2 linked regions of the Macaca mulatta genome follow. The protein of the gene in region 2 binds, or shares a complex with, the protein of the main gene of each other region. Links are inferred from orthologs where the notes say so. Each region holds a gene or a part of one and is shown on either strand. Other genes may lie near its edges.

Region 1 (7,296 bases), on a different chromosome or scaffold from region 2:
GCAGGATGGAAGGACAGAGAAGGCAAGACACCTGCCTGCTGGAACCTCCCACGGAGGAGGACCTGGAACAGCAGGCCATCGATGGTCTTGGCTCATACTGGAAGCTCTGGCCTGTTGGGCACCTGCTCCCCTGAGGCCTCCCTGCTGCTATTTCTATTCCTCGTACGATGGCCTCCCCCTCTTTGGGGACCTTGAGTAAAGGCTCTGGGCTCTGTTAGGGTGTGTCGCTTTGTTATATCGTTTTATGTATATTCCAGTCCTGAGGCGTGTGGCCTCCAGCAAGGGATTGAACTTCTCTGTGCCTCAGTCTTCCCAACTGAAAATAGGGCTTCAATAAGAAAATACATGTCAAGGCCGGGCACAGTGGCTCACGCCTGGAATCCCAGCACTTTGGGAGGCCGAGGCGGGCGGATCACGAGGTCAGGAGATCAACACCATCCTGACTAACACGGTGAAACCCCGTCTCTACTAAAAATACAAAAAATTAGCCGGGCGTGGCGGCAGGCACCTGTAGTCCCAGCTACTCGGGAGGCTGAGGCAGGAGAATGGCGTGAACCCGGGAGGCGGAGCTTGCAGTGAGCCGAGATCACGCCACTGCACTCCAGCCTGGGCGACAGAGACTGGGCAACAGACTCCCTCTTAAAAAAAAAAAAAAAAAAAGAAAGAAAGAAAGAAAATACATCTCAAGCCGGGCATGGTGGCTCAGGCCTGTAATCCCAGCACTTTCAGAGGCTAAGGCAGGCAGATCATGTGAGTCAGGAGTTCGAGACCAGCCTGAGCAACATGGGGAAACCCCGTCTCTACCAAAAAATAAAAAAATTAGCTGGGCATGGTGGCACCCATTTGTGGTCCCAGCTACTCAGGAGGCTGAGACAGGAGAATCACCTGACCCCAGGAAGCAGAGGTTGCAGTGAGCTGAGATTGTGCCACTGCACTCCAGCCTGGGCGATAGACCAAGACCTGTCTCTAAAAAAGAAAAAAAAGGAAAATACAAGTCAGGTCATTTCTCCTAATACCTAGTGCAGAGCTGCTGCTGTTATTAACATTCATCTGTCTTTATTAGGTGACATTCTCCAAGCTCATGCTGTGTGGTGGATTCCAAGCCTGGCACAGGGACCCAGAGATGGAAATGCCACCTATCCCCACCCCAAAGGCTCCCATCTGAGGGAGGAGAAAGACCTGTGTGAATGGTTACAGGGAAAGGGCATGTGACGCCACAGGGCTCATGATCCCAGAGACGCAGACCAAAACAGGCTGCTGTGTTCTGCTTCAGGTGGACAGAGCTTAAGCAGCTCTGTCATTCCACGTTGGCTGGAGCAGGGAGACAGGTGTCTTTGGTGGCACACTGGTCAGTGCGGCCTCAGTGGAGGCCGTCCCACATCCCATACCATTGCCCCAGGGATGCCACTTTGAGTGCAAATCCACACGAAACTCTCACAAAGATGAGGCTGTGGGCCAGGCGTGGTGGCTCAAGCCTGTAATCCCAGCACTTTGGGAGGCCGAGACAGGCGGATCACGAGGTCAGGAGATCGAGACCATCTTGGCTAACACGGTGAAACCCCGTCTCTACTAAAAATATAAAAAATTAGCCGGGCAAGGTGGCGGGCGCCTGTAGTCCCAGCTACTCGGGAGGCTGAGGCAGGAGAATGGTGTAAACCCGGGAGGCGGAGCTAGCAGTGAGCTGAGATCCGGCCAGTGCGCTCCAGCCTGGGTGACAGAGCGAGACTCCGTCTCAAAAAAAAAAAAAATTAAAAAATAAAAGATGAGGCTGTGTAGACCGTGATTCTGATGCATTCAGAACGCCCTGAATGCTTCTACGCCAGTGACTGGGTGAACAAGTCATGGTCCAGTTGAACTTTTTTTGGAATTTTTTTTTTTTTTTTGAGACAGAGTTTCACTCTTGTTGCCCAGGCTGGAGTGCAATGGCACAATCTCAGCTCGCTGCAACCTCCACCTCCCAGGTTCATGCGATTCTCCTGCCTCAGCCTCAGCTGGGATTACAGGCATGTGCCACCACGTTCAGCTAATTTCTTCATATTTAGTAGAGACGAGGTTTTGCCATGTTGGTCAGGCTGGCCTTGAACTCCTGACCTCAGGTGATCCACCCGCCTCGACCTCCCAAAGTGCTAGGATTATAGGCATGAGCCACCACACCCAGCCGAACTTTTGAGTAGAATACAACCATTCAAAAAGAAAGAGTCTGGGCACAGTGCTCACGCCTGTAATCCCAGGACTTTGGGAGGCTGAGACAGGAGGATCACTTGAACCCAGGACTTCAAGACCAGCCTGGCAACATAGGAAGATCCCCATCTCTACAAAAAAAAAAAAAAAATTTTTTTTTTAGAGACAGGGTCTCCCCTCTCTTCCCCAGGCTGGAGTGCAGTGACACCATCATAGCTCACTGCAGCCTCAGCTTCTGGGCTCAAGTGATCCTCCTGCCTCCGCCTCCTGAGTAACTGGGACTCCAGGCCCCCACCGTCACACCTGGCTAAATTTTGTATTTGTAGAGATGGGGTCTTGCCATGTTGCGCAGGTTGGTCTCAAACTGCTGAGCTCAAGCGATCCACCAGCCCTGGCCTCCCAAAGTGCTGAGATTACAGCCCTTAGCCAAAACCCTGTCTCCATAAATGATTAAATAAATGAAAGGCCACAGGCCTCAGACCGTTCATTCTGGAAGGTGCTGAGGAATTGTTTGTTAATAGTGGTTGCCTGGAAGGCAGCGGGGGGAGGCTTTCCTTTTTCAGTCTGGTATGTTCTAGTTTTTTTTCAGCCGGGCGTACTGCACTAACAATATAAGAAGAAAATGGAAAGAATTTGAAAAGACGCTGGGGTGTGCAGAGGAAGGGCACCCAAGTCTGGGGAAGGCGACATCAAACCCAGGCTTTTTGTTACCTGTCAGCCCCCATGTGAAGTCCCCGCCGGGCCCCTCAGCCAGCCTGAGTGGGAGGAGTGCTCAGAGGGTCCCCTCTGTGGGTGGTGGGCAGCTGGGTGGGTCTCAGGGGGAGGCTCCCTCTGGGGCCTCTGCGGCCTCAGTGCCCTGGGATGCTGGCGTTTGTCACTTGCTGGCCACCCCTCCCAGGCAGGGATGGTGTGAGCGCCCTGGTCCCTAGCGCAGAACACACACGCCTGCCTTGCATGAGCACCCCCGTGCCCATGGTCTTGGGGGGCTCGGCAGGTGCCCTCTGCACCCCCCACAGTAGGTGTGCAGGTTCCGTCCCAGCGCGCGTGGCGGCACGAGGGTCCCATCCAGTCCGGCCAGGTTTTGGGGCGGCCTCTCGCCCAGGCAGGTGGGATGCTGCGCGCGGATGAGGGGCGGGCAGCGGGCTACTTCCCGGTGGGTCCCCGGGGCGCGCGGGCTGGGGGCGCCGGAGCGGCCGAGGGAGGAGGCCACACGCTCGCCTGCACCGCTGGGGGCCGCCCGCGGGCCTTGCCGGCCAGAGCGCAGCGTGCGCCCCGGGCCCCGCGCCGGCACTCGCTCAGCGACCGCGGCGGAGACACGAGCGGCGGCTGCGGAGCCCTGAGGGCGGCGGGAATGCGGAACCGGCGCGCGGGCTGAGGCCGCCCGGCATGGCGCAGGGGCGGCGGCGGCGGGCGGCCTGCGCGGGGCCCTAGCGAGCCGGCGGACGCTCCCGGCCCCGGCCCCGGCATCGGCATCGCGGGCGCATCGCGGCCATGGCCAAGGAGCGGCGCAGGGCGGTCCTGGAGCTGCTGCAGCGGCCGGGGAACGCGCGCTGCGCGGACTGCGGCGCCCCGGGTAGGTGTGGGCCGGGTGGGCGCGGGGCCGGGTGGGTCCCGGGTGGGCGCGGGGTGCCGGGTGGGTCCTGGGTGGGCCCCAGGGACTGGGCGGGGGACCGCGGACGCCGCGGGGGTGGCGGTGCTGAACACCCGGCCGGCGCTCGGATGGGGCCCGGGCCCGGCTGCACCTGCGGGACCCGGACGTCTCCCCGGGCCGGGCGGAGCGGGAGGCGCCCCCAGGACCCCCGGAAATCCCCCTGCCGCCGCCTCCCCTCCCCCTCCGGGCTGCGTGTCTGACGGTCACCGCGGACCGCCCGCCGCGTTGCGAAAGCTCGGGCTCCGCACAGAAAGAGGAAATCGGGGCTGGCTGCAGGGAGGGAACGGGCCGCCGGCTGGAGGGCTCTGCTGGACTGTGGGGTCCCCCGGCTCCGGGGCCACCTCGCGGTGACGTCATGCCTCACTCCCTCCCCACACCGGGGGTCCCTGGGTGTGAGCGGCGCCCCTCCCGCGGCTCCCTGCACCTGGCTGCTCCGGGGCGGGTGCCAGGACAGGTGAGGCCTGGAAGAGGTGGGGCCGGACGCAGGTCCTCGTCCACCTGCCGCCCGCCCGTTCGTTCTCCCGGCCGGGCATCCCTGACTCGGTTCCTAGGTCTGTGGGATTTCAAGGCACAGGAGTCCAAAGGCGCGGAGTCCCTCCCTTCCAGGCCACTGGTCCTGCCATTGGCTGTGAACGGGGCCCAGTGCCCAGACCAGCCCTGCCCTGCTTCGGAGCTGTCAGCCCCAGGCCGGCTGCGCTGTGGGGAGAGGGCCCTGCCAGGGCAGTCCTGCCACCCCAGGCACACCAGGAATCTGGGGGCCAATAGCCTGAGCCCCTTGGAACAAACCTAAACTCACCAAGGATGGCTGAGGTCCCCAGGGAGAGAGCGGGGGAAGACCCTGCATTTGCCCCCAAGGCCCTGGTTCAGCATGCAGTCTCTGGACACCCCGGAAATAGGATCTGATTCTCTCTGGGATGGAGGGGTCTCTGCCAGCCCCAGGTCGTGGTGGCTGCTGTCCAGCCACAGTTTGGCCCGAGAGTCCACACCAGGAGCTGGGGTGTCCCAGAGGGGAGATAGTGACAGGCTTTTCTGGAAAGACAGGCAGGACCCACGGCCTTTCCGTGGTCTCCTGAGGCAGGGCGGCTGCAGGGCCAGTGCAATGGTGTGGTGGGGGCGGCCCCCTGGGCTGGCTCGCACGAGAATCTCTGACCCCAGATCTTTATTTCCTCCTGTTCAGGAATGCTCCCCTGGAGAGTCAGTGGGAAAGGGCCTGGCCTGGGGTTGCTATGGCCCACGGGGAGGGGAGCTGGGCTTGTCTCTGAACCTCTGATTCCTGGCCACACAGCCTGGGAGCAGCTTCTCTGGACTCAGAGCCCCTCTCCAGCTGCCCTCTGGGCCTCCCAGCCTGGCAGGAGGAAGAAAGAGGGCACTTCCCTGGCCTGCTGGGCCCTTCAGTGGCCCTCCCCTCCCAGTGGGTGCAGGTGTGCCTGGCCCACCACAGAGCTGTTCTCGGCCCTCCCCCTGCCCGGTGCTGCTGGGCACAGGGCCGCACCTGTGCCTTCTCAGAATTGGTCCATGACCTCAGTGACTCGCCTCCTCTGTCGGGTAGCGCCATGGAGCGGGGATGCTGTGAGGGGTTGTTCTCATTTCACAGCCAGGGAGACTGATGCCTTGCAAACTGGAGCTGGGGATATGGGTCACACCCGGCCGCTGTGCTTGTCCCCGCTTCCCAGGGCTGTGGCCACAGGGTGGAACAGGAGGTGTCAGGAGACGGGGGGCTGCCCGGACCCCATGACCCCATGGCACACCCTTGAGGGCGCTATGCTGCTTTGCTGATGCGGCTGCTCTGGGATCTCCTGTTCCTGCTGTGGCCCAGCTGGGTGACAAGGAGCCACTCCAGTATTGATGGGGACTGGGGTGACCAGCACGTTCTGCTTTCCTCAGAACACTGTCCTGTGCACTGGCTCTCGGCTGGTGCAGACCCGGTCAGCAGGACATCAGACAGTCCCAGGCCACCTCTGAACGCCAGGCCTGTGGGTGCTGGGGTAGACTTGAGCAGGCCCCACCTACTGGCCATGTGAGGGAAGCCACATGGTCTGGGGGTCTCTGAGGCCTCCACAGAAGCTCCTTCCAAACTCTCATGATCTGTCCCACTAGTGGGTTCCCCTGACCTTGAACAGGTCCTCACCCAGCGGCCACCCAGAGAGCCTCTCCTCACAGGCCTGGCAGGTGGGCGAGTTGGGGCGTGCTTGGACCCACTGTCCTGCAAGACCTGGGTGGGGGTCTCCATCCTGGGTGGGGCTTGGGGGAGGGAGGAGGTGCCTCTGTGCATCCTTGGCACTGCCTGCCTAATTGCAACAGAGGACAGGAATCAGGCGTGGTGGCTCACGCCTGTAATCCCAACACTGGGAGGCTGAGGCGGGAGGATCGCTTGAGGCCAGGAGTTGGAAGCTGCAGTGATACACTCCATCCTAGGCCAGAGTGAGACCCTGTCTCAAAAAAAAAGAAAAACAGACATATTCTCCTTTTTGAGTCTCAGCCCGTCTGATGCCCTGGGAGGACTGGGGTGTCTGAGCTCTTTTTTCTTTTTTATTTTGTGATAAGGTCCCGCTGTGTCACCCAGGCTGGAGTACAGTGGCTCAATCTCAACTCACTGCAGCCTCTGCCTCCGGGACTCAAGCAATCCTCGCACCTCAGCCTCTCGAGTAGCTAGGATTACGGGTCCATGCCACCATGCCCGCTAATTTTTTTTTTTTTTTTTTTTTTTTTGAGACGGAGTCTTGCTGTGTGGCCCAGGCTGGAGTGCAGTGGCACGATCTCGGCTCACTGCAAGCTCCGCCTCCCGGGTTCATGCTATTCTCCCGCCTCAGCCTCCGAGTAGCTGGGACTACAGGCGCCCGCCACCACGCCCGGCTAGTTTTTTATATTTTTAGTAGAGACGGGGTTTCACCATGTTAGCCAGGATGGTCTCGATCTCCTGACCTTGTGATCCACCCGCCTCGGCCTCCCAAAGTGCTGGGATTACAGGCTTGAGCCACCGCGCCCGGCCTTTTTTTTTTTTTTTTTTTTTTTAAGAGAATCTCTTGATGTCACCTAAGCTGCCATGCAGTGGCATGATCTTTGCTCACTGCAACCTCCAACTCCCGGTTCAACTGATTCTCATTCTCCTGCCTCAGTCTCCCAAGTCGCTGGGATTTCAGGCGTGCACCACCACCCCTGGCTAATTTTTGTGTTTTTAGTAGAGATGGGGTTTCATCATATTGGCCAGGTTGGTCTCGAACTCCTAACCTCAAGTGATCCACCTGCCTCAGACTCCCAAAGTGCTGGGATTCCAGGTGTGTGAGCCACTGCTCCCAGCCTAATTTGTTTGTTTGTTTGTTTGTTTGTTTGTTTGTTTGGTAGAGATAGGGTTTTGCCATGTTGGCCAGGCTGGTCTCGAACTCCTGGCCTCAAGCAGTCCTCCTGCCTCGGCCTCCTAAAATGCTGGAATTACAGGCGTGAGCCACCGCGCCTGGCCTGTGTCT
Region 2 (6,706 bases):
TGCCTGTAGTCCCAGCTACTCTGGAGGCTGAGGCAGAAGAATCGCTTGAACCCAAGAGGAAGAGGTTGCAGTGAGCTGAGATCGCGCCATTGCACTCCAGCCTGGGCGACAGAGTGAGACTCCATCTCAAAAAAAATAATAATAATAAAATAAAATAGTAATGTTCTGTTATGCAAATATCACCCCCCTCCAAAAAAAGGTACGCTCTGAAGTTTTTCCAGCTTATAAGAGCAATGTGGATTTTTTTCAGAGCAGAAGAACTTGAGCAATGTATTTTTAACATAGAAAAAAATTTAGAACTTTTAAAAACCACAAAGTTTAAAAAAAAAAAAAAAAAAGCCCTTATACATTTCCCCAAGGGAGACTTATCTACTGGTTAGCTAATCAATCTAGGTTTACTGGCTTAATTTTTCAACTGTTCCACTTAAAACTTAAGGGAACTTTGAAATACAGGGAAAAATTTAAGGAAACATATTGATGTTTCATTAACATCTTGCCTACAATCATTTTCTAAGAAACAAAATTTAAATAATAAAACAAACATTTGAGAATTCTTACAGTCAAAATGTGTTTTTCTTTTTTTTTAATTGAGACAGAGTCTCTTTCTGTCACCCAGGCTAGGGTGCGTGGCCCAATCTCGGCTCACTGCAAACTCCACCTGGGTTCAAGTGATTCTCCGGTCTCAGCCTCCTGAGCAGCTGGGATTACAGGTGCCTGCCACCATGCCTGGCTGATTTTTGTATTTTTAGTAGAGATGAGGTTTCATCATATTGGCCAGGCTGGTCTCTAACTTCTGACCTCAGGTGATACACCCACCTTGTCCTCCCAAAGTGCTGGGATTACAGGCATGAGCCACCATGCCCAGCCATCCTACAGTCAAAATTAAAGGCCCTCCTACCTTATATTCAGTCAGCCAGTGAATAAATCCAAAAATCCCATCTGTGACCTTTGTAGGTAGTGGCTTTCCTGGGGGAGAATGCTGGACCTGGGACTAAATAGCAATGGGCAATACGGTGCAACTACCATAACTTAGCCCTCTTGCAAAATTGGAAATAAGAAAAAAATTTGCCAGAGGAGAGAGTGTTCACAGAATGGATGGGACATTAAACAAGTTTTCAAATACCAAAAAATAGTCTGCTGCATTAAAGACTACAGATTCAGCCTAACTAAACTAAGGAGAGATGTCAGGTGACATGAGTTACTTCTGGGTGTTGACATGGCTACCCCAAAGCAGAGTCACACCTTTCAACAAACCCCAAAATAGGTTAGAGAAAAGGGCTGCAGTCATGTTTAATGGGGAAAAATTTTTCAGATTTCTGCTTTTTTCAACTCGTACACTGTAAAATGAAAGAGGATCTTGTACTTCTCAGCCTTCAAGAAGAAACTAGGCCCTGAACCTTCTCCTTGTGACTGGCCTTCCTCTTTGGTTTTTGGTGAGTCCTACTGTACCCAGACTTTGCCCTTACAAATACTAGTAAGTTCTAATTAAGTAAAATTTTTCAAAATACACACAGAGTATACAAAAACAATGATCTGTAATGATCACATCATATTGACAATACCTTTCTTAAAATACTAAGAATCACATTTGCCAAATATCTAACCCTGTACAAAATGCTGACCTCAATGCTGTGATGTCATAGGGAAAGAAAGATGTAATCCTTGCTATCAAATTAGAATATCTGCCTGTAATCCCAGCACTTTCAGAGGCCAAGGCAGGTGGATCACTTGAGGTCAGGACTTTGAGACCAGCCTGGCCAACACAGCAAGACCTCATCTCTACTAAAACTACAAAAATTAGTCCGGTGTGGTGGCACACACCTGTAATCTCAGATACTCAGGAGGCTGAGGCAGGAGAATCGCTTGAACCCAGGAGGTGGAGGTTGCAGTGACCCAGGATCACACCATTGCACTGGGTGACAGAGCCAGACTCCATCTCAAACAAACAAATGAACAAACAAAATAGAATATCCAAGATGGATCGATTAAAGCTTTTCTGTATTGACTACTGTAGGATAAACAGAACGCATGGACCTACAAAAAAATTCATCTGAATAGAAAATTCTACCTAATCCATCAGAAATTATGTATGAATGTGATCAAGAGCTAGAAAAGAACCTCAAAAAAAAAAAAAAAAAAAAAGAAGGAAAAAAAACCCAACTGAATGGCAAAGATAGAAGACTGTGATGGGACTTCCCCCTACATTTTATTAAACTTGTTATACCTGAATATATACATGACACCATGACACAACTAATGAACGGTTTCACAGAGTAAGCTATTCAAAGTAGAAAATAACATAAGCAAAATGAACACCTAAATTGTGGGAAAGGGGGTGTAGAGTGGTAGCATAAGGAAGAAAAAAAAGACATTTGGGGAAGATGAATCAGAGAAGACTTCTAAGAAAGAATTTAAACAGATTTGAAGGGAGAAAGTTGAGTGAAATGAACTGTCAGGGCCAGGTGAGATGGAGAGAATATTCCCCTAGCGGATAAAATATATATACACTCAAAGGCAGAGAACGGAAAGGAAGTCAATTCTACCCAAAAGCAAGGAGGACAAAGGATCTGACTTGGGGCAGGCACAGATAGGGATCTGAAGCTTAAATAACACCAGGAAACATCAGGCAATCTTATCCAATGAGATCTTTGTTTTTTTCAAGGAATGGCAACCTCACCTTCCTGTTGGCATCCAGGCTGGAGGCTGGAATCTGTAGGGTAACTTTGTATTCTGTTCTTTTATCCAGCTCCTCAGCAATGTAATTAGCTTCTCTCACCAATAGATTGGCCTTAACAATTTGTTCCCTCAGCCTCATCAGGCTGTTATTCAACGTTGCTTCTCTTAAAAAAATAAAGAAGGGGCAGAGGTAGGGAAGAGATTAACACAAAGCAGCTAGTCAGAAAATCATACAGTGGCAGTACATCATTGCCAAAATGTGAATTGAGCTTTTCCATGGTGGTCTGCACGCAGGGACTGTGTTGCTGACACTGACCCATGCACACACTTGAACCTGAACTACACGATAGGCACTGGTGCACAGCCACACAGCAGGCTGGCTGTAGATAAGGGCAGTGCCCGTGTATGCAGATCACCAGGGGATCTTCATCAACTCAAGATTTTCTCAGCAGGTCTGAGGTGGAGGCCTGAAATCCTACATTTCTATCAATCTCCAGGTGAAAGGGAAGCTGCCTGCCTGCAGACCAAACTTTAAATAATATGAGGTTAGTGAAGTAGTCTGCAACCATGGGATGACGCATTTCAATACAACGCTGATTATCCCGTACAGAGATGACACTTGCAATCTGTACCTCATCAGCACCATGCTTTAACTACCTGAGCTAATCAGTCCAGATAATCAACTTTGTTTTTCTAAAAATCATCTACCCAAGCTTCAGAACCTGAAGCATAATACAATGATAAAGTGTACTCTATATCCAAATCCAAAAGCCATACCAACTGAAAATGGAGCAGCACCTAACATCAACAGTTTTAAATAATGCAATATAAATGGGCAATTTCCCTTTTTAAAAAAAAAATGCAAAGTGGTTCTTGGCTGTAACACTTATCTTTTAACATAATTCTTTTGTAAGCACCATCTCAATGTTTCCATTTGACACTTTCCCTAGGTGTGTTAGAGGTGGCGAGGCCGAGCTATACGTGTAACAAGCCTCTCTGTGCCGCCTACCTCTCCTCAGCCCACTGTCTCAAGCGCTGCTGAGCGCTGGGCGAGTGGAAAGAAAACCTGTCCATGCTCCGGCAGTTCTGCTTCTCAGGAGACAGCCTTCTCCGGAGCTGCTCCAATTCGTGCTCATACATAAGCCTCTGGCGCTCCAGTGCGGATCGTTTTTCTTCTTCATGCTGTTGTTCTAGGCTGTTTAATATGGACTGCATTGGATCTAAACACATTTTTAAAAAAGATAAATGATCGCGAGTTACAACATAACAAACTTCAAATGTGGTTCTATATGGTGATGTTGTTTGTCATCTTAACTATACCACCTAACTAATACTTTAAAGACAATTTGGCATAAACTTAGCTTTCCTGACTTTCAATCACTCAGGTTGTTATCTATTCTCAGACATATCCTCAACCATCTTCCCTGCAGAAAAGGCAGGTCTATTATATGTTCTACACATAACCTAAGACATGGCGAATCCTCCAGAAATACAATCACAAGCCAGTGGCAGGCAAGTCTCTAAAGCAGAGAGATGTGGCCGGGTGCAGTGGCTCATATCGGTAATCCCAGCATTTTGGGAGGCCGAGGTGGGCGGATCACCTGAGGTCATCAGTTTGAGACCAGCCTGGTCAACATGGCGAAATCTTGTCTCTATTGAAAATACAAGTTAGCCAGGCACGGTGGTGTGCAAGCCTGTCATCCCAGCTACTCAGGAGGCTGAGGCAGGAGAATAGAATCACTTGAGCCCAGGAAGTGGAGACTGCAGGGAGCTGAGATCGTGCCACTGCACTCTAGCCTGGGCAACAGAGCGAGACTCTGTCTCAAAAAATTAAAATAAAATAAACCAGAGAGATTCTATCCATGAGAACAAAGTGATCTGACTGTATATTAAGGCAGAACATTTTGATATAAATTAAAGCCAAAGACACAAAATACAGAGAATAGCAACATAAAGATTTTCCTTTTTAACATTTAAAAAGGCCTCAATCATAAACATTTTTAACACTCTATCATCTTTTTTTTTTCAAGAGAGAAGGTCTTGCTACATTGCCCAGGCTGAAGAGCAGTGGTTATTCATGGGCACAACCTCAGCTCACTGCAGCCTGGAAATCCTGGACTCAAGTGATCTTCCCACCTCAGCCTACCGAGTAGGTGGGACTGTAGGCAACAGTCTACCAACCGGAACCAGTGCTTAACAGCACGCCTGACTTGCTCACCATTGCTGCCCAGGGCCTTCATGGTGACCTCCATCTGTGCATATTCGTAATTAAAGTTAATTTCACTGGACACCTCGCTGGAGGAGTCTCCGTCTACATCCAGCTGCTCAGAACTGTTTTCATTCTTCATGGAGGGATCATGGTCCTCATTCTCTCGTTCTGCTTTCTTTTTCTTTTTAGGCAAATTGAGTCTTGGGGGGAAAAAAAGAGTATTATTTTCTGAAGTTAAGACAGGTACTTATTTATGTCATTCATTAAGTAATGGCATCCGCTAGAAGCCAAGTAGATACCATGTAAGTACAAGGCAATTACTGTACTCAGGAAGTTGATAATCTAGTCATAGAAATAAGACACTCAAGTGCCAGCAAAAACTTACAACAGAAAGTGTGACACTAGTCCACACACCTGTGACAAACTCAGAGTTAAAGGAAAGCTGAGGACGATTTCAGAGCAAGGTGATAAAGGAAAGTGCAACAGGAGGAAATCATTTGAACTGTCTTCACGGATACAGAGAAAGCAGGGTAGAGGGAAAGCGTGGGAAAAGATGTGAAAATGGAAACATTCACATTCCCTGGAGAAATGAGTAAAACAACGGGATATTCAAAATTTGTACAGCACACTAGAGCTAAAGCTGGAAAGATCAGCTTCATCCAAACAATGAGGGTTTTGAACACAAAGCAAAGCAGTTTACACGTCATTTAATTTAGGAAGGAAAAAAATACTCCATGCTCTTTGTGCCCATCTACCCTTTTCTCAGTAACCAAAGTATCACTGGCCCATGGCAAACGCTCTCTATTAGCTACAGAAAAGTCAGTCTGACATCTGGAGCACGATGACCAGTGACAGTAACAAGAGACCAGGATGTTCACTTTTTACAATCTCCAGCCTGCCTGCCTTGTCAACGCAACATCAATTTTGTTTGGGAAACCGCATGTACAGCCCCAGGCGAGATACAGTCTTTTGCAGCCCCCTTTGCAACTAGGAAGCAATTTCTAGCAAAGGAGACAGAAGGAGATTGCTGAGGACTCTGGGAAGACTTCTCTGTTTTTTCGGATGAACAGGAGAGTCAGGGCTAGCACAGCTTACGGTTCTCCTTTTTCTTCCTGTACCTGAATGCTGTTTTGACGGCAGTGCAGCATGGCCAACTTCAGGCCATAGAGAGACGCCAAGACAGTGACCAGACTTTAGCCATGACTTTATTTGAGAGGCTTAGCCAACACTAACAACCATGTTCCTTTAGATTTCTGGTTCTGTCAGGGAAATAAATGATCTGTCTAACCCATTACAGTAAAACTGGCCATGACTTAGAGCCGAAAAGAATTTCTAAAAGAAATACCAACCTTATTTTATAGATAAGGAAACTAAAACCAAAACCATGTTTCCATAAAAAAAAAAATTAAAAAGATAAACATGTCAGGAAAACTATTAATGTTTATTAATAAATTCTTACACCACACAGCAAAGGAATCACCTTCCAGTGGGAAATAAAAGGGAAAAACTGTGTAGATGAACTCAGTATTTTTCCACGGTATATTGTTTATATGTCTCTAGGGTTCAGACCATATACAGTGAATGAACACACACACACACACACATATATATATATAATATATATGCAGCAAATATATATGTACACACACAATAACATAATTGTTTTAGAGACAGAAAATACATATTAAAGAGTAAACCTATTTCAGAGCACAATCTTCAATAATCTCCTTAAGGGACACGAATGACATCATACCTGAAGAAATGGTTGTTTCCCCATAATATCCTGTCCCCATGGTGTAACTGTATTGGACTGGAGACAGA

The links. Proteins that work in one complex are often made in the same cells at the same time.
Region 1: the proteins of KIF13B (region 2) and ADAP1 are in contact, whole or in part, in a crystal structure (PDB 3MDB), measured with the Homo sapiens proteins. The link is inferred for Macaca mulatta from reciprocal best matches to the Homo sapiens genes KIF13B and ADAP1. Residues at the interface, in NP_056069.2 of Homo sapiens: Val451, Asn452, Leu453, Asn454, Ala455, Asp456, Pro457, Leu463, Arg512, Phe514, Asn516, Gly517, Arg531, Leu533, Asn536, Asn537, Phe539; in NP_006860.2 of Homo sapiens: Trp137, Asn143, Gly144, Gln145, Phe146, Leu147, Pro186, Ala187, Lys188, Ile189, Gly190, His191, Pro192, His193, Tyr211, Glu213.

Annotation. Positions count from the first base shown.
Region 1 is NC_133408.1:34,897,350-34,904,645, reverse strand, and holds the start of ADAP1 (arf-GAP with dual PH domain-containing protein 1), read left to right. Parts: upstream 1-3,470; 5' UTR 3,471-3,672; coding exon 3,673-3,754; intron 3,755-7,296. UniProt on the Homo sapiens protein: GTPase-activating protein for the ADP ribosylation factor family. Binds phosphatidylinositol 3,4,5-trisphosphate (PtdInsP3) and inositol 1,3,4,5-tetrakisphosphate (InsP4). Regulates the incorporation of CD63 and CD9 into multivesicular bodies.
Region 2 is NC_133413.1:30,901,630-30,908,335, forward strand, and holds part of KIF13B (kinesin-like protein KIF13B), read right to left. Parts: coding exon 6,639-6,706; intron 5,086-6,638; coding exon 4,895-5,085; intron 3,897-4,894; coding exon 3,686-3,896; intron 2,841-3,685; coding exon 2,678-2,840; intron 1-2,677. UniProt on the Homo sapiens protein: Involved in reorganization of the cortical cytoskeleton. Regulates axon formation by promoting the formation of extra axons. May be functionally important for the intracellular trafficking of MAGUKs and associated protein complexes.